Linked DNA regions of Saccharomyces cerevisiae S288C. Each later gene encodes a partner of the first gene's protein in a complex. Each region holds a gene or a part of one and is shown in the gene's direction. Other genes may lie near its edges.

Evidence for each region.
Region 2: RAD3 (region 1) and TFB2 share a complex: the UniProt entries of both Saccharomyces cerevisiae proteins name them as parts of the 7-subunit TFIIH core complex.
Region 3: RAD3 (region 1) and TFB4 share a complex: the UniProt entries of both Saccharomyces cerevisiae proteins name them as parts of the 7-subunit TFIIH core complex.
Region 4: the proteins of RAD3 (region 1) and TFB1 are in contact, whole or in part, in a cryo-EM structure (PDB 7K01), measured with the Saccharomyces cerevisiae proteins. Residues at the interface, in NP_011098.3 of Saccharomyces cerevisiae: Thr75 (codon at 1,824), Met76 (codon at 1,827), Ser77 (codon at 1,830), Glu80 (codon at 1,839), Lys81 (codon at 1,842), Thr109 (codon at 1,926), Ser110 (codon at 1,929), Lys112 (codon at 1,935), Asn113 (codon at 1,938), Arg124 (codon at 1,971), Gly126 (codon at 1,977), Thr127 (codon at 1,980), Phe178 (codon at 2,133), Leu182 (codon at 2,145), Ser209 (codon at 2,226), His211 (codon at 2,232), Tyr212 (codon at 2,235), Asp215 (codon at 2,244), Lys217 (codon at 2,250), Ile218 (codon at 2,253), Glu246 (codon at 2,337), Ser249 (codon at 2,346), Leu250 (codon at 2,349), Asp251 (codon at 2,352), Glu308 (codon at 2,523), Lys400 (codon at 2,799), Asp401 (codon at 2,802), Glu426 (codon at 2,877), Arg436 (codon at 2,907), Tyr544 (codon at 3,231); in NP_010597.3 of Saccharomyces cerevisiae: Tyr231 (codon at 4,727), Asn232 (codon at 4,730), Pro239 (codon at 4,751), Val240 (codon at 4,754), Leu296 (codon at 4,922), Arg297 (codon at 4,925), Leu329 (codon at 5,021), Leu330 (codon at 5,024), His331 (codon at 5,027), Val333 (codon at 5,033), Lys335 (codon at 5,039), Ile336 (codon at 5,042), Ile337 (codon at 5,045), Asp338 (codon at 5,048), Leu339 (codon at 5,051), Asp340 (codon at 5,054), Gly341 (codon at 5,057), Asn342 (codon at 5,060), Ile343 (codon at 5,063), Asp345 (codon at 5,069), Asp346 (codon at 5,072), Pro347 (codon at 5,075), Val348 (codon at 5,078), Val349 (codon at 5,081), Arg350 (codon at 5,084), Gly351 (codon at 5,087), Asn352 (codon at 5,090), Pro354 (codon at 5,096), Asp355 (codon at 5,099), Gly370 (codon at 5,144).

Annotation. Positions count from the first base shown.
Region 1 is NC_001137.3:525,481-533,876, forward strand, and holds RAD3 (TFIIH/NER complex ATP-dependent 5'-3' DNA helicase subunit RAD3), read left to right. Parts: upstream 1-1,601; coding exon 1,602-3,938; downstream 3,939-8,396. Other genes in the region: RPH1 (Rph1p), read left to right, coding at 1-279; adenylate kinase ADK2, read left to right, coding at 494-1,171; ATP-dependent RNA helicase BRR2, read right to left, coding at 4,050-8,396. UniProt on the Saccharomyces cerevisiae protein: ATP-dependent 5'-3' DNA helicase.
Region 2 is NC_001148.4:317,799-322,318, reverse strand, and holds TFB2 (TFIIH/NER complex subunit TFB2), read left to right. Parts: upstream 1-1,551; coding exon 1,552-3,093; downstream 3,094-4,520. Other genes in the region: VPS30 (beclin 1), read right to left, coding at 1-248; MEI5 (Mei5p), read left to right, coding at 689-1,357; RNY1 (ribonuclease T2), read left to right, coding at 3,374-4,520. UniProt on the Saccharomyces cerevisiae protein: Component of the general transcription and DNA repair factor IIH (TFIIH) core complex, which is involved in general and transcription-coupled nucleotide excision repair (NER) of damaged DNA and, when complexed to TFIIK, in RNA transcription by RNA polymerase II.
Region 3 is NC_001148.4:669,136-674,909, forward strand, and holds TFB4 (TFIIH/NER complex subunit TFB4), read left to right. Parts: upstream 1-1,990; coding exon 1,991-3,007; downstream 3,008-5,774. Other genes in the region: exocyst subunit SEC8, read left to right, coding at 1-1,738; BRR1 (Brr1p), read left to right, coding at 3,336-4,361; YMC1 (organic acid transporter), read left to right, coding at 4,616-5,539; chorismate mutase ARO7, read right to left, coding at 5,726-5,774. UniProt on the Saccharomyces cerevisiae protein: Component of the general transcription and DNA repair factor IIH (TFIIH) core complex, which is involved in general and transcription-coupled nucleotide excision repair (NER) of damaged DNA and, when complexed to TFIIK, in RNA transcription by RNA polymerase II.
Region 4 is NC_001136.10:1,081,029-1,089,212, forward strand, and holds TFB1 (TFIIH/NER complex subunit TFB1), read left to right. Parts: upstream 1-4,036; coding exon 4,037-5,965; downstream 5,966-8,184. Other genes in the region: SUM1 (Sum1p), read right to left, coding at 100-3,288; SSF2 (rRNA-binding ribosome biosynthesis protein), read left to right, coding at 6,553-7,914. UniProt on the Saccharomyces cerevisiae protein: Component of the general transcription and DNA repair factor IIH (TFIIH) core complex, which is involved in general and transcription-coupled nucleotide excision repair (NER) of damaged DNA and, when complexed to TFIIK, in RNA transcription by RNA polymerase II.

The DNA of each region.
Region 1 (8,396 bases):
AAGAACAAGATTTATATTTGTAAGGAATGCCAAAGAAAGTTCTCTTCTGGTCACCATCTTACAAGACACAAAAAATCCGTCCACTCTGGTGAGAAACCTCATTCTTGTCCCAAATGTGGCAAAAGATTTAAAAGGAGAGATCACGTTCTGCAGCACTTGAATAAGAAAATACCGTGTATTTCAAACGAAACAACAGTAGATGCTCCAATAATGAACCCTACAGTGCAACCGCAGGACGGGAAAGCGGCCATTAATCAACAGAGTACACCTTTAAACTGACTCACGATTGCCAGTTGTTTACCGAGATCTCTCATTTTGAAGGCTCTTAAAATGTGCTCGGTCGGCCGGGAATTCGCGAAAACCCACATTCACTAATAAATACCATTACAATAACCATCATTATATAGATACACATGTGTAGAAAAGGATAATATACGTATATATATTTGTTTGTAAATCTTTAAATTTTCAGGAACAGGGTTAGCAAGCATCAATGAAAGCAGACGCGAAACAAATAACACATCTACTCAAACCTCTTCGACTTTTATTATTGGGGGCTCCAGGGTCAGGTAAAGGGACACAGACTTCGAGATTACTAAAGCAAATTCCACAATTATCTTCAATTTCGTCAGGCGACATTTTACGTCAGGAAATAAAATCTGAATCTACCCTAGGCCGAGAGGCTACTACCTACATTGCTCAAGGCAAGTTATTACCGGATGATCTCATAACGCGTCTGATAACTTTTCGTCTTTCGGCATTGGGTTGGTTAAAACCATCTGCCATGTGGTTGCTCGATGGATTTCCTCGAACTACTGCGCAAGCTTCTGCCTTAGACGAGCTGCTGAAACAGCATGACGCCAGCTTGAATCTAGTGGTAGAGCTAGATGTACCCGAATCCACCATATTAGAAAGGATCGAGAACAGATATGTTCACGTTCCTAGTGGGAGAGTGTATAACTTACAATATAATCCTCCCAAAGTGCCAGGATTAGACGATATCACCGGAGAACCATTGACCAAGAGGCTTGATGACACAGCGGAAGTGTTTAAAAAAAGGCTAGAAGAGTACAAGAAAACAAATGAGCCTTTAAAAGATTATTACAAAAAAAGTGGGATTTTTGGTACCGTCTCTGGGGAAACATCAGATATTATCTTCCGAAATTATTGAACCTTATAACCAGCAAATTCGGCTAATAGGGTGATTTAACGCTACACTAACTGCAAGTATATGTTAACCTTCCCCGAGACTTTGAAAAACCGTGACTCTAGTTGGAAGTCAGCATCTCGTCAACCAAATGATTACAGTTCACTTTGAATATTCTGAATAGCCTTTATGATATGAGTTAATCCTATATTAATCATGGCCGACGGCATTTAAGCGATGTATATGAAATTTATGAAAAATTAAAGTAGCGTACTTTATGCTACATAGCTTTTGAAAAGAAATCTCTGGTCTGTAAATAATAAATAAATATATATATATGTATATCTTAAAGTTGACAAAGTACTGTTAGCCATTCATAGAAATACTATATTTCATCTTGGGTTGAAGGTGATAATCGGCCCGATTTGACTACACTTTAAGAAGATTGGAAACAATGAAGTTTTATATAGATGATTTACCAGTGCTTTTTCCATACCCCAAGATATATCCAGAGCAGTATAATTATATGTGCGATATTAAAAAGACTCTGGATGTAGGTGGAAATAGTATCTTGGAGATGCCTTCAGGAACAGGTAAAACGGTCTCATTACTATCCCTCACAATTGCCTACCAGATGCACTACCCAGAACATAGAAAGATCATATATTGTTCTCGTACTATGTCTGAAATTGAAAAAGCTTTAGTAGAGTTAGAGAACCTTATGGATTACAGAACTAAAGAACTAGGCTATCAAGAGGATTTTCGAGGTCTTGGCTTGACATCAAGAAAAAATTTGTGTTTGCATCCCGAAGTGAGTAAGGAACGAAAAGGTACAGTAGTCGATGAAAAGTGCCGTAGAATGACAAATGGGCAGGCGAAGAGAAAATTAGAAGAGGATCCAGAGGCAAATGTAGAATTGTGTGAATACCATGAGAATTTGTACAATATTGAAGTAGAGGATTATCTTCCAAAAGGCGTATTTTCTTTTGAAAAACTTTTGAAATACTGCGAAGAAAAAACACTTTGTCCATATTTTATTGTTCGTCGTATGATTTCTCTTTGTAACATTATTATTTATTCTTACCATTATCTATTAGATCCTAAAATTGCTGAAAGAGTTTCCAACGAGGTTTCTAAAGATAGCATTGTCATTTTTGATGAAGCGCACAATATTGATAATGTGTGTATCGAATCGCTGTCATTAGACTTGACAACGGATGCATTGAGAAGAGCCACACGAGGTGCTAATGCGTTAGATGAACGTATTTCTGAGGTCAGAAAGGTTGACTCACAGAAATTACAGGATGAATACGAAAAACTAGTTCAAGGTCTCCATTCTGCAGATATTCTTACCGACCAGGAAGAGCCATTTGTGGAAACACCTGTATTGCCCCAAGATCTTCTAACAGAAGCAATCCCGGGAAATATACGAAGAGCCGAGCATTTTGTTTCATTTTTGAAAAGATTGATAGAATATCTGAAGACCAGAATGAAAGTTCTTCACGTTATTTCAGAAACGCCAAAATCATTTCTACAGCATTTAAAACAGTTAACTTTCATAGAAAGGAAACCTCTTCGGTTTTGCTCAGAAAGGCTATCATTACTTGTAAGAACTTTAGAAGTTACAGAGGTAGAAGATTTTACTGCATTGAAAGACATAGCAACTTTTGCTACTCTTATATCAACATATGAGGAAGGGTTTTTACTAATTATTGAACCGTATGAAATCGAAAATGCTGCAGTTCCGAATCCGATTATGAGATTTACTTGCTTAGATGCATCGATTGCCATCAAACCAGTCTTTGAGAGATTTTCTTCCGTTATTATCACTTCAGGGACCATATCACCATTAGACATGTATCCAAGAATGTTAAACTTTAAAACTGTTTTACAAAAATCATATGCCATGACCTTAGCCAAAAAATCATTTCTACCAATGATTATTACCAAGGGTTCTGATCAAGTTGCAATTTCTTCAAGATTTGAAATCAGAAACGATCCTAGTATTGTTCGTAATTACGGTTCTATGCTAGTAGAGTTTGCCAAGATCACACCTGATGGAATGGTTGTTTTTTTCCCCTCATATCTATATATGGAAAGTATTGTTTCAATGTGGCAAACAATGGGTATTCTTGACGAAGTTTGGAAACATAAATTAATTTTAGTTGAGACTCCTGATGCTCAAGAAACTTCTTTAGCCTTAGAAACCTATAGAAAGGCTTGCTCAAATGGGCGTGGGGCAATTTTGCTTTCTGTTGCTAGAGGAAAGGTATCTGAAGGTATCGATTTTGATCATCAATATGGCAGAACTGTGCTGATGATAGGTATCCCGTTTCAATACACAGAATCGCGTATTTTGAAAGCTCGCCTAGAATTCATGAGGGAGAACTATCGCATCAGAGAAAACGACTTCTTATCTTTCGATGCGATGAGACATGCAGCTCAATGTCTGGGGAGAGTACTGAGAGGGAAGGACGACTATGGTGTAATGGTACTAGCAGACCGTAGGTTTTCAAGAAAAAGAAGCCAGTTACCAAAATGGATTGCTCAAGGTTTGTCTGACGCCGATTTGAACCTTTCGACTGACATGGCCATATCCAATACCAAACAATTCTTGAGAACAATGGCACAACCCACAGACCCTAAAGACCAAGAGGGTGTATCTGTTTGGAGTTATGAAGATTTAATAAAGCACCAGAATAGCAGAAAAGATCAAGGTGGATTTATTGAAAACGAAAACAAAGAAGGAGAACAGGATGAAGATGAAGATGAAGATATAGAAATGCAGTGATGCAATGATACGCTTTTGCTATAAACTGTATATATCACAATTAGATTAAATAGCCGCAAGAGAATGTTATATATTGAAATCCATTCGATTATCCAGGACTAAACAATGATTTTATTTCACATTTATTTCAAAGGACAACTCTTTATCTGCGTCAAGATATGAATCACAGACACACCAAATTGTTAAGTTATGTTTACCAGATGTCGGAGTGTCAAATTCCAATTCATATTGCTGAGTCTCTTTATTTAAAGTAACTTTCTTGATCGCATAAAGCTCTTTTTTAGATACTTCACCTAAAACCAACCACCAACTTTCTAGCTTATCAAACGGATACTTTTCAGATGTTACTTGTAAGTTCTCAGGTTCAACATCTCTTGTCAATTGAATGGTAATTTTCTGTTTTACACCTGAAATTAACGAATCAGAATTATTCAACGAATAAGTAAGTTCAACGTTGGGGTAATTGTTAACAAACGCGGCGACCTGCGCAAGCTGTGAATCAGTAAGCGTTAAAATTTCATCCCTCTCTTCATCCTCAAGGGCCATTATATCATAGACCGTCTCGACGTTAATTTCTTTACATTTTTCCAAAATTTTGTTGTTGAAGTGTGGAATCTGTCTCAACGGATTATCAACGTCCCATACACCCTGAATCAACATCTGCGCCAAATCCATGGCGGTAGTAGCATTCAAATACCCGTTTGCTGAAAGGATATCAACCACTACGTTAATTAGTGGAACAACCTTTTCTAGAATGTCTTTTAAATCATTTTGAAAGTCGACAGGTAATTCAAGACGTGAAAAATATGCTTGTAACAATAAGAAAACTTTAAAGCTCACCGAACCAGAAGAGGTGTGTTCAGGGAATCTCAATGGTAGTCTTTTACTTAATTTGACAAGTAATGCTCTGTCTCCTTTTCTGAGTGGAACACTTTCGAATTCTACTGCTGTTGAAAGAACATACAGCATGTTTTTGAGCGTTGACGTATTCGATAAAGAAGAAACGAATGACTGAATAGTAAAAAATGATACGCCATAGTGAGAAGCAATTAGCCCGTTGCTCAAGGTAGAAATGATTTCAGTTGCTTCATCATCTCCTCCATTAACTTCTGCGGTTACTTCAGCTTCTGTATCGTCAATTTCAATGAAGGATGATTCAACTAAGTCATTCAAACAAGTTTCAACTAAATTACTCAAAAAAACTGAAATTCCATGTGGAGACGTATCCCTTACGCCATAATAGCTTGGATTCACATGGATACGACGATAGAAATACGAATATGTAAACCAGTCAACACAATCTTGTTTGCTTTGTATAATAGAATTTGCTATCTCGTTGTTCAGAGTATCATGAATAATATACTGTAGGTAACTCTCAGTAGGCAAAGGCTCAATTAAGAATTTTTTGTAGTAGGCCTTCATGTTGTGACTTGTCAAAATTAAAACCTTGCCTGCCATTGAATCGTTACCACTAGCTAGTCCCACCATTTCTAGAAGTTCATTTATGGTATATGGCATATATTTATGCTCTGCACCATCATAAAGGTTGGTTCCTAAAATAATCACTTCATCAGTTTTACAAGCGAATGCAGAACAATCCTTAGAAATGAGTAAAACCGATACCGCACCATATTCGTATAACCTTTTCACAATTCTTTCATCATTTGATGCCATCCCCTTATACAAAATACCAACACCGTGTTTTAAAGGTGCTCTTAGATGACCATCTGTTAACTTTTCAATGTATGGTACAATTTGCTCTTCTTCAACGTTCAACATATCCCATTCAATTGCTTTTGAAAACTTCATAAATGCAGACGCAACTTCCATACAATCCTTTCTAGATGGTAAGAACACCGAACTGGAATTACGATTTCCCGCTGCAGCAGCAGATGCTTCAAATGCCATTTGAAGCATCGAAAAATTGAATGATATGTGCTCAACATCTTTAAATGACTGAATATTAATTTCAAGAGGCTCAATTCTTTCGCTTGGAGAAAAGTTGTAGATGTTTGACTTCGTCATACCAGCCCATTCACCAAAATCACGAGCATTTGCCAAACAGTTCGAAAGGCAAACAAATCGAATTTTCTTTTCAAGTTGGGTTGCTATAAATATCATTCTAGAAATTAGCGTTTCATACACAGCACCGTAAACACCTTGGCTAATCTCATGAGCGTCATCATATATCATTAATTCTAAACTTTGGATGTTCTTCCTTTGTCTCCAACGACGTGACAAAAGCTCAAATTGCACGGGGGTAGCCAAGAGAACATGGCTTTTTGCTAATAATTTTAAATTTAGTGAAGGATCATTTCCTAGCTTATTTATTATCTTACCACCAGCAAGATGAGAGAACCTTTTATTCCAATCAGATAGCAAAAAATCAATTTTTTCCCCAGACGGATTGATATAAACCGCTCTTCCTTTATTCTGTCTCCAATGATTTAACAGTGCTAATTCAGCCATAGCTGTTTTACCTGTGCCCTTTCCTGAACCTACAAAGACCGAGTCATTCGAATTGTAGAGAGACTCGAAGACCTGGCTCTGAATCTTGTTGAAAGTTTTAAATTCAAATACTTCGGAAAAATCATCATTGCCAAGCTCTGATGTTGAAATACTAATATTCTCCAGAAGGGGAGTAGGAGGAGGAAATTTTTTCGGAAGTTTAAATCCATTGAAGGAAACTGGAATCTCGAATTCACTGTGCCACCAATTTTCTGATATCAAAGTAAGGAAGAAATTAGGTGGTAAGTTATTTTGATTGTGCTGCTTTAACTCATAAGTAAAGGATAAGGTAAATTCATGACCAACTATATCTGGAGTGATGAATAGTACGTCATAATAAAGTATTGAATCACCATCAGTGTCTTCTAGCATGAGCAAAAAAGGTTCAAGGGAACCGTGTACATTCATATCCCATATCCAGTCGGCTATTATTTCAATGTTGAACCTCATAACGCTACGGGTAATTGGCTGAGCGTTGCATGTTACGGACATTTTGGGAAATCTTTTCAATAAATCGTAAACCTGTTTTCCATATTTTTCAGATCTGATTGCACGACCAACTTCGGCAGGTGTTTCTAGCTGTAGATAATCTCCCCACGGTACTGTAGAGGCTTCCAGCCTTTTAATCACTTCGACAGGGCATGTTTTAAACTGTCTTAAAGGACAGTTTGTTGGCCACATTTTAGTTGTGGCAGATTTGCAAAGATTTAACAACATCCGTGTGGGATGTCCCCATCCTCTCTTCAAGCATATTTCAAACATAGCACGCAATAACCTACCAGCATTTTGGTGAATAAACACTATATCAGAATTAAGTGCAAAACCTTCGAACTTTAGCTGGGAAAAATAAGACTGCAGTAGTACATTCACTTTTGCTAAAGGATCATCAATATCTTCTCTGATAGGAATGGGTGCTTTCTCTAGAAGTTGTTTTAGTTCTCTTTTCTCTTCATATCTCACCGATACGTACTTAAACTCTTCCGACATTGAGAATATTCTAAAAAGATCAATCTGAGTTGTATGTTCATCTAACTCTCTATTGTAAACATCCATGGAAGCATGATTTATGTAAAATGACGACGCTATATTTCCTAGATCGGTCGCCTCAATTACATCATTTTCAGCATCATATAACACCAACTCTTGTTCTTTTAAAATGCATAGGGCCGAATGGACTAAGCTTTCTCTAAACTTTTTCAATTGCCCATCACTTGAAATATCAGGTACTTTGTAAAGCATAGGGGAAGCTAACATTCTGACATATAGGTAAGTATACGCCAACCAATTCACAGCATCATTCCTGCACTTAATGTTACCCGCGACAACTTCTGCATTTAAGTTGTCAACTAATTTTGAAACAAATTGCGATTCTATTGGTAATTGTTGATTTAAAACCGAGAGATAATATTGAACATTCGATTGGTCTGTTATTATAATACCCTCGCCAAATGTGTCATATCTCGGTCTGCCTGCTCTACCTAACATTTGAAGTACATCTTGTGGAGAAAGTTGTTCCCAGGACCCCTTTTCAGGTGAATAGACATCTGTTCCTTTTATAATCACTGTATGAGCAGGTAGATTAACACCCCATGCTAACGTCGCAGTGCATACCAATACTTGCAACAACCCGTCTGCAAATAAATCTTCAGATAAGGATCTGTCACTTCTGGTCAGCCCTGCGTGATGCGTCCCTATACCGCTTTCAATCAACTTTCGTAGACTTGGATCGAGTACGTTGGCTGCTTCTGTCTTTAAAATCTGCTTCGATCCTGCATCATTTTTGGTTAATTTATGAGTAATGTTCTCTTCAGCAAATTTATTTTTCAACCATGTTGCTGTTCGTGATGTTTCTTTTCGAGAATGAACAAACACGATTATTTGATTACCTTCATTGATGGATTCCAATACCTTTTCATAACAAGCATCATTCATAGCCTTCAGCTTTTTCAA
Region 2 (4,520 bases), on another chromosome or scaffold:
GTGATTAATTTATCATCTTTTAAATTCAAGTCTTTTATGTTCTGAATCTCCCCTAATCGCCTCAGCCTCTCCTTCGGTATTTGAGGCCCACAATTATCTGCGGCTTCGATGCCCTTGTTGCTGATGACATTTTCATTCGTTGCAGTGATAATTGAATTATTTGAAAGTAGCAAATTTCTTTGGGTTAAACTAAGACCTTCTAAAGATGGGTCTAGTTGCAGGGGTAAGTGACATGTTTGGCACTTCATTTTAATGCCCGTGTCTGGGAGTCTTTGCGAAAACAGTGACTGCCATAAAACGTAACTGAACTACCTAATGTGCTCCCATAGCACTACCCTTTTACTTCTATGAGAGCAAAATCCCCAGGCGGGTGACACTTAAGTACTACTAATGAAGGTAAAAGGACTATGTAATTCGATTATACCACCAGTCCATACTTCCCGATAGTTGATTTAAAATACACCTGGTTCGAACTATTTCTCTCTTAGTTGACACTTTATATACCAACTTTCTATATGAAAGTGATCATTTTACTATAGGATTAGCCGCGGAAAAAGTATTAGCCGCCCAAACTTCTATGTACCTTCCGCATAAATAGGAAAGAAAACAAGAAACTTGAACTTAAAATACTTCCACATCACAAGTATACTTTCCAGGAAAAGCACCAAATTACAGTTATCTAATAGTAATGCACAATCAGGAAGAGTGGCTAGACAAGGACAAAACTTTGGTGAACGAAGAAGAAAATACTTGCATCAACCATTCTTATACAAAAAAGGACACTAATAACTATCGGGTCGGTAAAAGCGGTATTAAGGACTTGAAGAAGCCTACGAACCAGAAGGAAATTGCGATAAAAAATAGGGAGTTAACGAAACAACTTACTCTTCTCAGGCAAGAAAATAATCACTTACAGCAGGCTTGTAAAATTCTCAGCGAAAACAAGATCATTGAGAACAGAAAATCCATAGAAAAATGGAGGACAATTTGTGAGATGGAACTGTCTTTTATTTTAAATTCCACTTTAATCAAAATCAATAGAATGGGCGGCTATAAAGATTTTCTAGAAAAAGAAATGGAGGCTAAAAAGAGAAGATTGGAATATCAGATTGACAACGGTATGGAAGATCAAATCTGTGAAATAAAGGAAAGTGATGACTTTAGACAACTTTCAGAAGTTGAGAAACAAGAGTGGGAGAGTCAAATGAATGAACAGCTGAAAGAGTTGGAAAAAAAAAAAATAGCGGAGCTGGAAAAATTGAATAAGGTGCTGCATGATAGCGAAGGGAAAGATTTTGGAATGGCTGAACTATGCACTAGGTTAAAACTTGACTACAGCTTAATCTTTCCACAATGAAAAATGCGTAAAACGTTTATTCATCTTGCATTTCTATTAGGTACGCGATTACTGAAAAAACGAATGTATTTTTTTGTTGTAGCGCAAATTACGCACCATCATATATTCACATATAACCTAACTTCATCGTCAGAATACAATACTAGTAACTTAGCATTAAAAGCCACCATCAAAGGGAAGAAGTGAACAATATAATGAGTGACTATTCCCTGAAGCATTCGGTCACTCAGTATTTGGAAGAAATTCCTCAACAAGTTCAAAATAGGCTTTATACCTCACCAGCTACATGTCTGGCTATCTATAGAATTTTACCACCACTAGCTAAATTTTTTATCATGGCAATGGTTTTCAACGAAAATGAAGTACCTTTGTTGGATTTAGATAAATGGGTTAACTCTAATGGTAAATTGCAGTTTCAGAATGCAATCAAATCGATGAAGTCTTTGCATCTTCTTATACCAAATAAATCATCTGGTACTTTGATGATCAACCTAAACCCAACATTCAAAATCAGCCTGAGGAACGCATTAACGGGTGGGGAAGTTCAAAACTCATTCGGTGTGGTTGTAGAGGAAAACGTAGTTAGCCTGGACTTGTTGGATGAATATTCAGCTAATAAATGGGAAACAATATTACATTTCATGGTTGGCACTCCCCTCGCTAAAATCCCATCTGAAAAAGTACTGAACCTTTTAAAACACAGTAAACTAATGGAAGAGGTAAACTCTACTGGAGAGTTCAAAATCACTAATGAAGGCTTCCAATTTCTTTTACAAGAAATCAACTCCCAATTATGGACATTATTATTGCAATATTTAAAAATGATCGAAACGTCCAAAATGGATTTAGTCGATGTTTTACATTTTATTTTCATGTTAGGCGCATTGGAAGTTGGCAAAGCCTATAAAATCGATGCATTAAGCGAAACACAAAGAATTATGTTACAAGATATGCGAGACTATGGTTTGGTATTCCAGAAGCATTCAAATGATAGCATTTTTTATCCAACAAAATTAGCTTTGATGCTGACTTCCGATACCAAGACAATCAGATCTGCCTCCAATGCGATGGATAGTGTACTGAGACAGAATAGAGAAGAGCCGTCAGTAAATGAAGACGGCGCCAACGGGAAATCCACAACAGATATCACTACATCAGATGATTTGAACAAAGCAGGTCTAAAAAATCAAGATATACCCGATGGCTCATTGATTGTAGAAACAAATTTCAAAATCTATTCATATTCTAATTCACCTCTGCAAATTGCTGTTTTGTCTCTTTTTGTTCATTTAAAGGCAAGATTTGTGAATATGGTATTGGGTCAAATAACAAGGGAATCCATAAGAAGAGCATTGACCAATGGTATCACTGCCGACCAAATCATTGCCTATCTGGAGACACATGCACATCCTCAAATGAGAAGGTTGGCAGAAGAGAAACTAGAAAAAAAATTAGAGCTGGACCCCAACTGTAAGGAGCCTTTACAAGTTTTGCCTCCTACCGTCGTAGATCAAATCAGATTATGGCAATTAGAGTTAGATAGAGTCATTACATATGAAGGTTCCTTATATTCTGATTTTGAGACTAGTCAAGAATACAACTTACTAAGTAAGTACGCTCAAGATATCGGTGTTTTGTTGTGGAAAGACGACAAAAAGAAGAAATTTTTCATCTCAAAGGAAGGTAATTCTCAAGTACTTGATTTCGCTAAAAGAAAGTTGAAAAAGAAACAATAAGTATATATACATATATATGCCCCTACATATCAATGCATTCAACGTAACAATTGCGCTAACACACGCGTCTTTCTTGCGCAGTAATTGTTTTCCTTTTTCATTCTTTCTTCTTTTGCATCTCTATCAACAAAATTTCGGTATCTAAGCTTTTCCTAAAATATCCCTTAAATGCAAACCTATCGAAAAGTAGGGGAACTACCGAATTTATAATTAACGCTTCAACTTTCGACCTATTGCAAGGCCAACTATTTAAGATATTTCAAACTAAAGTACTGTGTCAATGTTACTGAAAAACTTACACAGTCTCTTACAACTACCAATTTTTTCGAATGGAGCAGATAAGGGTATAGAACCAAACTGCCCTATAAACATTCCATTATCATGTTCCAATAAAACTGATATAGACAACTCGTGTTGTTTTGAATATCCAGGTGGAATATTTTTACAAACCCAATTCTGGAATTACTTTCCAAGCAAAAACGATTTAAATGAAACTGAATTAGTGAAGGAGTTAGGGCCTCTAGATTCATTTACAATTCACGGATTATGGCCAGATAATTGTCATGGTGGCTACCAACAATTCTGTAATAGGTCCTTACAAATTGACGATGTTTACTACTTATTGCATGACAAGAAATTTAATAATAATGATACATCCCTGCAAATATCGGGCGAAAAGCTGCTTGAATACCTAGACTTATATTGGAAGAGTAATAACGGGAATCATGAGTCCTTATGGATACACGAGTTTAATAAACATGGCACGTGCATTAGCACAATTAGACCAGAGTGCTATACTGAGTGGGGTGCTAATAGTGTTGACAGAAAAAGAGCGGTCTATGATTATTTTAGAATAACTTATAATCTATTCAAGAAATTGGACACATTTTCAACACTAGAAAAAAATAATATTGTCCCAAGTGTGGACAATTCCTATTCTTTGGAGCAGATAGAGGCAGCACTAAGTAAAGAGTTTGAAGGAAAAAAAGTCTTCATAGGCTGTGATAGACATAATTCCTTAAACGAAGTATGGTATTATAACCACTTGAAGGGTTCCCTTTTGAGCGAAATGTTTGTGCCCATGGACTCACTTGCCATTCGAACAAATTGTAAAAAAGATGGTATTAAGTTTTTTCCAAAAGGTTATGTCCCAACTTTCAGGAGGAGACCTAATAAGGGAGCAAGATACAGAGGAGTCGTTCGTCTATCAAATATTAATAATGGAGATCAGATGCAAGGCTTTCTAATCAAGAATGGACACTGGATGAGTCAAGGTACACCAGCGAATTACGAGTTGATTAAATCTCCCTATGGGAATTACTACTTGAGAACTAACCAAGGGTTTTGTGACATTATTTCGTCTTCATCTAATGAATTGGTCTGCAAATTCAGGAACATTAAGGATGCAGGTCAATTCGATTTTGATC
Region 3 (5,774 bases), on another chromosome or scaffold:
TCCTAAAATTTTTTCTTTGGAGTATAACATTGAGGACAATTCTTCTGTAAAGGATCAAGCTTTTGAACTAAAGGCTTTGTTGAAAGATATATTCCCTGGATTTTCTGTCTCCTCAAACATGGATTTAGACTCTATTTATGTAAAAGATGAATCCTTCGAACAAGATGAGCCTCTAGTCCCTCCTTCTGTTTTCAACATGAAGGTAATTTTAGATCCGTTTTTGCTGTTTACGCAATCGACATCTACAATTGTTCCCAGTGTCTTAACACAAAATACTATTTCATCCCTAACCTTTTTCGATGATTATATGAATAAAAGTTTTCTCCCAAAGATTCAGATGACTATGGATTATTTATTCACGGTTGAAGTAGAATCCAATAATCCGTACGCCTTAGAGCTATCCGATGAAAATCATAACATTTTTAAAACAGCATTAGATTTTCAAAGGTTATTTTACAATTTATTGAATGTTTTCAACACAGCAAACACATTTAGAGAAAAAATATCGTACTGCATTCTAGATCTTTTGAATCATTTTTATAATTACTACTTGGGGCTATTTAATTCCTTGATTGGTACTTCTGATAGACATTTAACTAGGAAAATAATTACGGCATGGTTGCAGAATGGTATTTTGATGGATCAAGAACAAAAAATTCTGAATGGGGATGAGACACTCTTTCATGAAGAATCCATAGAGTTATTTAAGGAAATACCTCATTTCTATCAAGCGGGTAAAGGTTTGAGCAAATCTGATTTATTCAATAACTTGACATTGGACACAATTCTGCAGTTTTCGGCAAGCGTGTTATGGATATTAAACTGGCTGCCAGGCTTAAAAAAGGCTATCAATATTGATGAAGTAAGCCAAGAACCCATGTTAGATGCTGATAGATTAAGGAGCAGCTGGACATTTTCTGAATCAATGGATTTAAACTATTCGAACCCTAGTTCCAGCCCAAATTCATTAGGAAATCTAAAAATTTTATTGGATGATAAAGCCTCCAAAAAATTTGATGAGACTATCGACGGATTCAAAACCTTGAAATTCAAACTAATCACTATACTGAGGTTCAACATTAGGGCCTTGTGTATATACGACATCGGGTCTTTTTTTCAAAACACCAAAATTTGGAATATGGATGTGGGTAGTATTGAATTAGATCAAAATATAGCTTCTCTAATTTCCGAATTAAGAAGGACTGAAAGCAAATTGAAACAACAGTTACCAGAAAAGGAAAAAAACTCCATATTTATTGGTCTTGATATAGTCAACAACTACGCCTTGATTAAGGGTGCCAAATCCATAAAAGTTTTGAACCATAACGGGATAAAGAAAATGTTGAGAAATGTAAATGTCTTACAACATGCCTATAGAAATCTTTCTTCTGAACCATCAAAAATTAATATGAACGTCACAATGAATTTTTACTCTTTATGCGGCTCCAGTGAAGCTGAACTATTTGAATATATAAAAGACAATGAATTACCGCATTGTTCTGTCGAAGATTTGAAAACCATATTGAGGCTGCAGTTTAGCGAGGAAATGCATCGTCAATTGAAGAGACAAAGCACTAGCTCAACTAAGGGTTCCATAAAACCTTCCAATAAGAGGTACACTGAAGCTTTGGAGAAACTAAGTAACCTCGAAAAAGAGCAGTCGAAAGAAGGAGCCCGCACCAAGATTGGAAAACTTAAAAGCAAATTGAATGCTGTCCATACTGCAAACGAAAAATGACATTTTTAGTTTGTGTAAAATTAATTTGATAAATAAATGAATGAAAATGATCAATAATAAGCGAATAACTATATTTTTAATTACCTTATTTTTACAATATTTTTCACTTGCACTTTTATTTTATTTTCAGCGCGCAGCTCGTCTTGTTCTGTTGAAATTCAAAGATACCTGAAGGAACATTACAACATCAATCAACACTTGAGTAGAAATATACACGATCCAATAAAATATACTGAAGCGAAGCAATCAGAAATGGATGCAATATCTGATCCAACGTTTAAGCATGCTAGATCAAGAAAACAGGTTACTGAAGAATCACCATCTTTGCTTACCGTTATTATAGAAATTGCACCAAAGTTATGGACAACTTTTGATGAGGAAGGAAATGAGAAAGGAAGTATAATAAAGGTTTTAGAGGCATTGATAGTATTTCTCAATGCTCACTTAGCGTTCAATAGCGCCAACAAAGTAGCAGTCATTGCTGCATACTCTCAGGGAATCAAATATTTATACCCAGAGAGCACATCTGCTCTAAAAGCCTCTGAATCTGAAAATAAAACCCGTAGTGATCTTAAGATTATTAACTCAGATATGTATAGACGTTTTAGAAACGTTGATGAGACGCTAGTGGAAGAAATATATAAACTATTTGAGTTAGAAAAGAAACAAATCGAACAAAATAGTCAAAGGAGCACGCTAGCAGGTGCCATGTCAGCTGGGCTGACTTATGTAAACAGAATATCAAAAGAGTCAGTAACTACCTCATTAAAATCAAGGCTACTTGTTCTTACGTGCGGGAGTGGCAGTAGTAAAGATGAAATTTTCCAATACATCCCTATAATGAACTGTATTTTTTCCGCAACAAAAATGAAATGTCCCATTGATGTCGTAAAGATTGGTGGTTCTAAGGAAAGCACGTTTTTACAGCAAACGACGGATGCCACAAATGGCGTTTATTTACATGTTGAATCTACAGAAGGGCTAATTCAATATTTAGCAACTGCAATGTTTATTGATCCGTCGTTAAGACCTATAATTGTTAAGCCAAACCATGGATCTGTAGATTTTAGGACATCATGCTATTTAACAGGGAGAGTTGTTGCCGTTGGATTCATCTGTTCAGTTTGCCTATGTGTCTTATCAATCATACCGCCCGGAAATAAATGTCCTGCTTGTGATTCTCAATTTGATGAGCACGTAATTGCCAAGTTGAAGAGGAAACCAGTTGTTCCAAGGTTGAAAGCCAAAAAGAAGGTGACGAAACCATGAACGAAAGGAATGAACATTATCCGTTTCAAGCAGGTAACCTTCGTCACAATGCATCGTAATAATACATAAAAAAAAATTAGCTTTAAGCACATGTATATTGGACATTCCACAGAAAAAAAAAAGCTTTTGATGTGATTAGCTTAAGACGTTGTGTCATCTTTGAACTGTTTTGACTTCAATCATATCGAATTTGATAATATAACTATCTATGTACTGTCTGGGTGCATCGCTGTTGTTGCTTCGGTAGATTTATTAGTTCGCTTTGGATAATGTATCATACAATAACATTGCCAACATCCATCATAACAGAAACATTAGGTGATAAACAATGAAAAGAGGAGAAAGCCAGGCGCCTGATGCCATCTTTGGTCAATCTCGTGCATTTGCACTATCTGATTCTTCAGTGAATCCTGATGTCATTGAATATCTTAAAAGTGTTAGGCAAGAAGCACTAAGAACCAACGCCATATCGATTAAGAATCATATGAATCTGCAAAAGAGGACGCGTCACAAATCAAGCATGTACGATGATGAGGATGAGGGGGCCCTTAAAAGGCACGCCATCTCGCCATCCTTGATTAGGCTTCAAAGGAATGTAGAAATATGGGTAAGGTGGTTTAACTCTGTGAAGGCGACGGTGTTGACTAATGCCTACGAGTTTACCGGTTATGAGGACGAAACACTGGATCTTTTATTGCTTTTCTTAAAGAATTATCTCGAAGATATGCCCAGCAAATGTACTACAGTTGAAAAAATTATAAGTGTCCTAAATCAGCATTCCTTTCCTGAGAAGGCAGAAGAGAAGGAAGAAAATCTTCAGATTGATGAGGAATGGGCGAAGAATATTTTGGTACGGCTGGAAAAAACCAAGATTGACAGTGTTGAGGATGTAAAAAAAGTAATCACTGAAGGAGATAAACATGAACTAGTTGGATACAACCAGTGGTTCCAATACCTTATAAACAATGAACCGCAGCATACTACTTTTCATGAAAAGATTACCTCTAAGCAACTTTGGGTTCTGATCAAGTATATGTCGAATACATGGATAAAAGAAATACACAAGAAAGGAAGGCATTATCGTCGGCTGCAAGATTGGCTATTCTACATACTGGTACATACACCCGAAAGAGTCACGGCAGAATATACAAGCATCTTGAGAGATCTTGGAAAGAAATGCCTTGAACTGATTCAAAAGAAGCCAGTTGAAGCACATGAGAATAAAATAACACTCCCGAAGGAGATGGCGGAATTGAATGTTGAGATACCAGCCGCGGTGGAGAATATGACGATAACTGAGCTGACAGTGTCTGTTATAGCAGTGAACTATGGTCAAAAAGACTTGATAGAATAATGTAAATAAATTTCTTATGTAGTTTTTTACAGGAAGTAAAAAGTGTTATTACTTTGATTGACTCATTCTTACATTTACTGATAGGCCGAAGATAAGCGGCGCCCTAAGAAAACTCGAGCGCAAATTGTCAGCGATGATGTAGCCATGCTATAGCATCAATCAATGTCAATAAGCTAATAACAACTATCATCTATACTCCAACGCAGCTCTCTTGTTTAGGTTTCTCGTCAATCAAATTCGCATCACGAAGAAGTATGTCTGAAGAATTTCCATCTCCTCAACTAATCGATGATTTGGAAGAACATCCACAGCATGATAATGCTCGAGTCGTGAAAGATTTGCTTGCAGGTACAGCGGGTGGTATTGCGCAAGTGCTAGTGGGCCAGCCCTTTGATACGACAAAAGTTAGGTTACAAACATCGAGCACCCCAACAACAGCCATGGAAGTCGTCAGAAAGCTGCTTGCCAATGAAGGGCCTCGCGGGTTTTACAAAGGAACTCTGACGCCATTAATTGGTGTTGGTGCATGTGTTTCATTACAATTTGGTGTTAATGAAGCTATGAAGAGATTTTTTCATCATCGCAATGCTGATATGTCATCGACTTTGTCATTGCCACAGTATTACGCATGTGGTGTCACAGGCGGTATAGTAAACTCATTCTTGGCGTCCCCAATTGAGCATGTCAGGATTCGCTTGCAAACACAGACTGGCTCAGGCACCAACGCAGAATTCAAGGGTCCTTTGGAATGCATCAAAAAATTAAGACATAACAAGGCCTTGCTACGTGGTTTAACACCTACAATATTGAGAGAAGGTCATGGATGTGGCACATATTTCTTAGTGTATGAAGCGTTGATTGCTAACCAAATGAACAAAAGACGTGGACTAGAGAGAAAGGACATTCCTGCATGGAAACTTTGTATTTTTGGAGCATTGTCTGGCACTGCCTTATGGTTGATGGTATATCCATTAGATGTCATCAAGTCTGTCATGCAAACGGATAATTTACAAAAGCCTAAATTTGGTAATTCTATTTCCAGTGTAGCCAAGACTTTATATGCCAATGGAGGGATAGGCGCTTTTTTCAAAGGGTTTGGTCCTACCATGCTAAGAGCTGCTCCCGCCAATGGTGCCACTTTTGCTACTTTTGAATTAGCGATGAGGTTATTGGGTTGATAATTCCTATAGAATTTATGAGCCATCGTTTAAGAAAATAGTACAATATAATGTATAACTTGAAACTCTATCTTCTTATATTCAATAGATGCTACTATGCGTACATATATATGGTGAGTGTGTGTGTTTATATATGCGTAGTAATCACTCGGCAATGTGGAATTGTTACCGTGATAGCCTTCATGCTTACTCTTCCAACCTTCTTAGCAAGTATTCCACCTCAACTTCCTTAGTG
Region 4 (8,184 bases), on another chromosome or scaffold:
TTGGGCATAGTAACGGTCCATTATTTTGTGTTTTTTTTATTTTTTTTTATTTTTCATTTTTTTATCTATTCTCGAAACTGCCCCAACGTACGGACCAGCTTAACGGATATCTGGCGGTATGATTCTGGAATATTTGACCTGGTTGTTTTCTGAACCGTCATCAAGGAAGTCAAAAATTAACATGTTGTCGATGGTTTCATTCAGATTGTCTTCGTTAATGCCGTCCTGACCCAATGCCGGCAGTGTTTCGTTATGGGGAAACATCCACTCTCTCCATTGAGTGGTCACATTGTCGCAGAGGTCGTAGAGGATCATTTTTAGCAGGGTAATATGGTTGTAGAACCATGAAACGGATCGATTAATAAATATTCTGTAGTTTTCCATCTCTTTCACCGCATGCAGGATGGTGTAGTTGTGGAATCTTCTTTTGTCTCTTGATTGGTCTCTCCAAAATTCGAAAAGGGCAAATAACGCCTTTCTCCTTTGCCAGGTTCTTTTGGATTCCCGAAGTTTTAAGCCTAGACCAACTAGTTTATTCTCCCACCTGAATTCCATCAAGAAGTACTCCAAACTGTTAACGTATTTCTCTGTCAGCGTTGTCTTGCTCAAAATTTCAAAGGCAAGTTCCGTCTCTTCTTGAATATCAGGCTTGAAGAAATGCGCATTCATTTTTTCATGCTTTGATTTAGCAGCATAATCCTCCTCATTGATGCTAGAGTTGATCAATTCCTCTTCTTTCGCCTTGAATTTAAATTCCAGGTACGCTCCTGTGGTAATGGGAACGTCCGGAATATCTCTCCGGTAGAAGAAGCCTTCCCGGCAGATTAATTCAATGGGAGTTGCCGTTAACAATGTATTGCGTGACTCTGTACCCAAACCGAGGTTTCCGTTGCCATTGCTACTATCGTTAGCAGACTCAGTATCGTTATGGATAGATGAAGTACCTTTGGATAAATCTGCGGAGATGTCTCCTGAGACATTCTCCACGGTGGCCAGCGTTCCGCTATTACCAACACCCCTTTCTCCCTCATCTTCTTCACCTTTTGTATGATCTTCTGTGCGTCTCTTCTTTGGTGATATGCTCGTATTCTCTGTTTGATCCAATGCACCGTCATCGCCTGCTGTTCTTTTCCTTATCGTGTCCGAAGGTTGTGAGTTTTCTAATGGAACGAACGTGGTAGTTTCTTCATCTCCCGGGGTCTTTCTTTCATATTCTGCATTCTCCTTGGTAATTGCCTCTTCCCCAGAATTTAGCATGGACTGTATTCCAACTTTGTGAACCGTATCGGCAGCGGATATGGTTAGACCCATCTTGAGAGAGTCGCTGTTTGCGTTTGAGCCCTCATTGTCAATATCGACGAGTTTTTCTTGCTCTAATGGTTGATATCCTTCCTGTTGGTGGTCTGAAATGCCGCTGATGGAGGCCGATCTTGGTTTTGGCGACATTGAAGAACCTTTAGTTGTTGGTTTTTCTGCACTTTTTATCTTTGAACGGGTGGAGATCTCATTCAAATTTAAGTTCAAGTGATTATCATGTATTATCGAAGTCATTCTTTTCCTCCTCTCTTCTTCTTTCATTGCTTTTAAGAGTTTCTTATTAGACTCCATAAATGACTTTGCTTTATCGCGATCGTTATATTTCATATTAACAAGCATTTTCTCCCTTGAATCACGTCTTTTATCTAATTCTCTTTGTTGTCTATTCATCTCTGACGTAACCGCCGCAGCAGCGGCAGCTGTTGCTGCTGCTGGAGAGGAAACGGGTGGTAATTTGACCGTAATATTACCGCTGGCGTCATAACTTAATGAAAACTGATCGTTAACCATTAATCGGCGAATATCACTATTGATATCTGAATTAGCTGAAAATTTAATGACGTTGTCAGTATTATTATTATTGGTCGTATTATTACCACTATTTTCGCTGGATGATTTGATGGTTATTATTTTCTCCTTCTCGGTTTTATTTTCTTCAACATTTACCTTTCCTTCCACGTTATTATGAACAGTATCAGTAGTATTCGAATCCTCTGCGTTTGGATCACCATTAGTTGAAATTAGAGAGGCCAGTTCTAAACTTTTAATGTCTATTTCTTGTGTGGCTGACCTTGAAGTCCGAACCGGAGCCGGTTGTGACACAGGATTGGATGGAGATGATGGTATTTGATGAAATTTGGAAGATGGAAGCAAGGAATTTATTGGAATCTCGTTTTTAATCCGATTAGATGCATCTGACTTATCTATCGTATCCGTGGAATTGGATATCATTGTTTCCACTGTTCTCTTTTTTGGGGGCCTGCCTCTTTTTCTTTTGATTTGAATTAAGTTGTTCGGCGTAACAGGTGTTGGTGTGATGGAGCTAGAATTAGCAGTGGATGGTCGCTCTTTACCATTTTCATTGTTCGTTCTTTGCGGTACGGAAGTCAAGGACATATCAGCATCATCTCTTGATGATGAAGGGGCAGATAATAAAAGCGACTCTTGTTTCGTTGATGGTTCCACAAAATACCTTTTGGATTTAGACGTTTGTACTACGGCAGTCGGTAAAGTAATATTTACTGGTGAGAAAGGAGCACCCTGATTGGATGCACTTTTGAGATTGACCGAGGCTGCGTTTGACACTAACTTATTCATTGTGGAGGTCGAGGCATCTTTTCTTGGCCTGCCAGGTCCCCTTCGAGAAGAAGAGGTATTATGCTGTGAACTGGTATTGTTGGATGAATTTTCTATGAGAAGGTTAGAGTGATTTACTTTCGAAGTATTTTGCAACATTGTCGATAATTTGTTCAATCGTTCATTCAAATTATTGACCAATATGTCAGTATTTACTTGATTCTTCATGACATCATCCAGCTTATTTTCCAAAACTGATTGGTTGTGTGATAAAACTTTTAATGAGTTAAACAAATCCTGCACAGAATCAGTGAGGGAAGTGTCTTTGGAAAGCAAAGCCGTCTTCAAATCGTTGCATTGTTTTGTGACTTTGTCCATACCCTCTTTTAGGGCTTCAATAGATGAATGTGGAAAGGCCTCGGAATCTTTTATATGAAGCGGATTTGAACCAAAACCAGAGCCAACTTGTCGTTTTATATCAGAATCATCACTGACTGGTATGTCTGTGATGGATGGCAAAGCTTTAGCGTTCGCATCTGTATCTAGCTTCCTCAAACTATTAGCTTGATTTTGAGCACTGGTAAGTGCTAACGTATCTACGTCATCTTTGGGTCCAGACGGAAGTCTCTGTTCATTGGTTATGTTATCAGAAGGGGCTGTGGTGTTCTCAGACATCCCCGCAACAAACGAATTTTGTTAATTATGTATGAAACTTTTCGTTTGATCTCAATAATACCACTAGCGACTAAATTTTTATGATACTTAGCTACTTTAAACAAGTCCCTTGTGCTCTGTTTGCTGACACTTTTGATAAAATATGCCTGTGTATAATTCTTTTAGCAGTTTATTTCAAACACAAATGGTATTAAAAGGATAGATGAAAAAAAAAAAAAAATTAAAGCCACTAGTAATGATACAATCGTGGTATCACAAGCGCTGAATGAAACAAGTGTGGCTATCTATAGCGGATGCAAGTGGAGAACTTGTGAATCCAAACTGAAATATTTTGCCATCATTTGTTGTCCTTTCCCTTTTCCATTCAGGAAAAAAAAAAAAAATTTGACGTCGCCGTCGCGTCGCAGTCATATAATTACAGCAATTTATCTTGTTGAACGACGCAAATTAATGGAAATTGTGACTTACATAGTAAGTATTAGTAAACGTAGTTAAGGCCACGTGGGAAAGATATGAAAGGAGTGTAAGTAATGGATATCGGTCTAACGAAAATGGAAACCAATCTTTAAAAATGATAGTATGATTCGACAGTAAACTAGAAAAGCCACAACCCGTGGGACATGATAAGGCTGCTCGTTTTTGACGCAATTTTTAGACAATACTGAAATTTAGCATAATAAGCTTTCCCAGTGAAAGTAATAATATTTAACCTAGGGTAGGGGTAGGGAAAAAATAAAAGTAAACCATAATGTCACATTCCGGAGCTGCCATTTTTGAGAAAGTTTCTGGGATAATTGCCATAAATGAGGATGTTTCACCCGCAGAATTGACATGGAGGTCTACGGACGGTGACAAGGTTCACACAGTTGTCTTATCCACTATTGACAAGTTACAAGCTACCCCTGCTTCCAGTGAAAAAATGATGTTGAGGCTAATCGGGAAAGTGGATGAGTCAAAAAAGAGAAAAGACAACGAAGGAAATGAGGTTGTGCCCAAACCGCAACGTCATATGTTTTCGTTTAACAATAGAACAGTTATGGATAATATCAAGATGACCCTTCAACAAATCATCTCACGGTATAAAGATGCAGATATCTACGAAGAAAAGAGAAGAAGAGAGGAGTCTGCGCAACACACAGAAACACCAATGAGCTCTTCTTCTGTTACTGCAGGGACTCCCACACCACATCTCGATACACCACAATTGAATAATGGGGCTCCGTTGATTAATACAGCCAAACTAGATGATTCTCTCTCTAAAGAAAAATTGTTGACCAATTTAAAGCTACAGCAATCTTTACTGAAAGGAAACAAAGTTCTAATGAAGGTTTTTCAGGAAACAGTCATTAACGCCGGTTTGCCTCCATCTGAATTTTGGTCAACTAGAATTCCGTTATTGAGGGCTTTTGCCTTATCTACTTCTCAAAAAGTTGGGCCTTACAACGTTTTGTCAACTATCAAGCCGGTGGCTTCATCGGAAAACAAAGTCAATGTTAATTTGTCAAGAGAAAAAATTTTGAATATTTTTGAGAACTATCCAATTGTAAAGAAAGCTTACACTGATAATGTGCCCAAAAATTTCAAAGAACCAGAGTTCTGGGCAAGGTTCTTCTCTTCGAAGTTATTCAGAAAATTAAGGGGTGAAAAGATCATGCAAAATGATAGAGGTGACGTAATCATTGACAGGTACTTGACATTGGATCAAGAGTTCGACAGAAAAGATGATGACATGCTATTGCATCCTGTGAAAAAAATTATAGATTTAGATGGTAACATACAGGACGACCCAGTTGTACGAGGCAACAGGCCCGACTTCACTATGCAGCCAGGTGTGGATATTAATGGTAATAGCGATGGTACCGTGGACATCTTAAAGGGTATGAATAGATTGAGTGAAAAAATGATTATGGCTTTGAAGAATGAGTATTCAAGGACAAATCTACAGAACAAATCTAATATTACAAACGATGAGGAAGATGAAGATAATGATGAAAGAAATGAACTGAAAATCGATGACTTAAACGAAAGCTACAAGACAAACTATGCAATCATACATCTGAAAAGGAACGCACATGAAAAGACAACCGACAACGATGCGAAAAGCTCGGCAGACTCGATAAAGAATGCAGATTTGAAGGTTTCTAATCAACAAATGTTACAACAGTTGTCATTGGTCATGGATAATTTAATTAATAAGCTAGACTTGAACCAAGTAGTTCCTAACAACGAAGTCAGCAACAAGATCAATAAAAGAGTCATAACTGCAATCAAGATTAACGCCAAACAGGCTAAGCATAACAATGTTAATTCAGCACTCGGCTCTTTTGTCGACAACACTTCTCAAGCAAATGAATTAGAGGTGAAAAGTACCCTACCAATAGACCTATTAGAAAGTTGTAGAATGCTACACACAACGTGCTGTGAATTTCTAAAGCACTTTTATATTCATTTTCAGAGCGGTGAACAAAAGCAAGCCAGTACCGTCAAAAAACTTTATAATCATTTGAAGGACTGTATTGAAAAGCTGAATGAGCTATTTCAAGACGTCCTTAATGGTGATGGTGAATCTATGTCAAACACATGTACCGCCTATTTGAAGCCAGTTTTGAACTCCATTACTTTGGCTACTCATAAGTACGATGAGTACTTCAACGAATATAACAACAATTCGAACTAGAAATATAAAGGCTCTCCAGTTGTTACCACTTTTTACATTCATATTTTTCATCTATTTACTGCATGTTACATATTACATAAAACTTAATTGTGTGTATTCTTCCTTTTTGGTCTTTAGTCTCTATGTAAACAATAGAAAAACGCGGGACTCGATTAACGCTGTGCTGCACTGATGCAGCCGTGCGTGTAAATAAAACATTTAACGTGAAAACGCGCGCGAATGGCTTGTGAAACAAACAAGAAACAAACGGGAAATATTTCAGCATGTGATGTGGCTGAAAATTAGCAAACGATTCGTCAAAATAAATCAGTAATGGTGCTTTAGTTCTATTACAGCTTGCTAATGGTTCAGTAATATTTTCAAAAATTTTGCCAAACAGACCTAAGCACTTGCAATACTCCAGACTGTTAGTTCAGTCATTATCTATCATCTTGGACGATTTTGCAATTTTTTAGTGTAGATGCATCTCATCGACGGGCTTGTATGAATGATATTAAATAGGCAAAATAAACTAGTCTAGCTAATATTCGACTAAATTGCAGCTGCTAGGTCACCATCCCGCACATACCTTAGATATTTTGGAACTAATGGCTAAAAGAAGGCAGAAAAAGAGAACGCATGCGCAGATCACACCCGAGCAGGAACGAGATATTCCTAAATCCATGGTAATCAGAGTGGGACAAACTTCATTGGCTAACCATTCTCTAAACCAATTAGTAAAGGATTTTCGCCAGATCATGCAACCGCATACGGCCGTAAAACTAAAAGAGCGCAAGTCCAATAAACTGAAGGATTTTGTTGTTATGTGTGGCCCATTAGGTGTTACGCATCTTTTCATGTTCACTCAATCTGAAAAAACAGGAAATGTCTCGCTAAAGATAGCTAGAACTCCACAAGGTCCTACTGTTACTTTTCAAGTATTGGACTATTCACTGGGTAGAGATATCAAAAAATTTTTGAAGAGACCTAAATCGTTAAATAATGATGATGTATTAAATCCTCCATTGCTAGTGTTAAATGGGTTTTCCACATCGAAAAGATCTGATGAAGACGATCAGGATGTAAACGTGGAGAAGGTTATTGTTTCCATGTTCCAGAATATTTTCCCACCTCTGAATCCTGCAAGAACTTCGTTGAATTCTATCAAACGTATATTTATGATCAATAAAGACAGAGAAACGGGGGAAATTTCTATGCGCCACTATTTTATTGACATTCGAGAAGTAGAGATCTCTAGAAATCTAAAAAGGCTTTATAAAGCCAAAAATAATCTAAGTAAAACAGTGCCGAATTTGCATCGAAAAGAAGATATTTCTTCTTTGATATTAGATCATGACTTAGGCGCCTATACATCAGAATCTGAAATTGAAGATGACGCTATTGTGAGAGTGGTTGATAATCAGGACGTGAAGGCAAAACATTCTCAAACTTCGCTGTCGCAAAAAACACCCGTTAAAATGACAGATAACGAAGAACGTGAAAAAGGAATTGAAGAAGAAGATGTGGAAATGGAGGAACCTAAGCCTTCAGAAAATTCGCAACCAACTCCACGTAAGAAGGCTATCAAACTGACTGAATTAGGACCAAGATTAACTCTAAAACTGGTCAAAATAGAAGATGGTATTTGTTCAGGTAAAGTATTACATCATGAATTTGTTCAAAAATCAAGCGAAGAAATCAAAGCCTTAGAAAAGAGACACGCTGCAAAAATGAGGCTGAAGGAACAAAGAAGAAAGGAACAAGAAGAAAACATTGCTAAAAAAAAGGCTGTTAAAGATGCTAAAAAGCAACGTAAATTGGAAAGAAGAAAAGCTAGAGCAGAAGAACAGGGTGAAGGTCAAGGGAAAGATGGTGCAATGAGCGATGATGGATCTTCATCGAGTGAAGATGAGCATTATAGTGATGTACCAGAGGATTTGGATAGTGACTTATTCAGTGAAGTAGAATAATGCACGATATGTATATATATCCTCCGTACGTAACATCACTATCCATATAGTAGCCATGACTCCGATGGACTTAAAGAACCAGGAAGTGTCTGTTTATTCATAGGTGAGGGAACACCTCAAAGTAAATATTAATGAATATATAAGATCATAATTAAACAAATATATAGAAATCTTTTACAATTAAAGAAAAAAATAAAAGAAAAGGGAAGTTAAAACTTCGATTATTAACAGCTGAAAAATTAAACTTTGTAATGAAAAGCAAATTGGGAG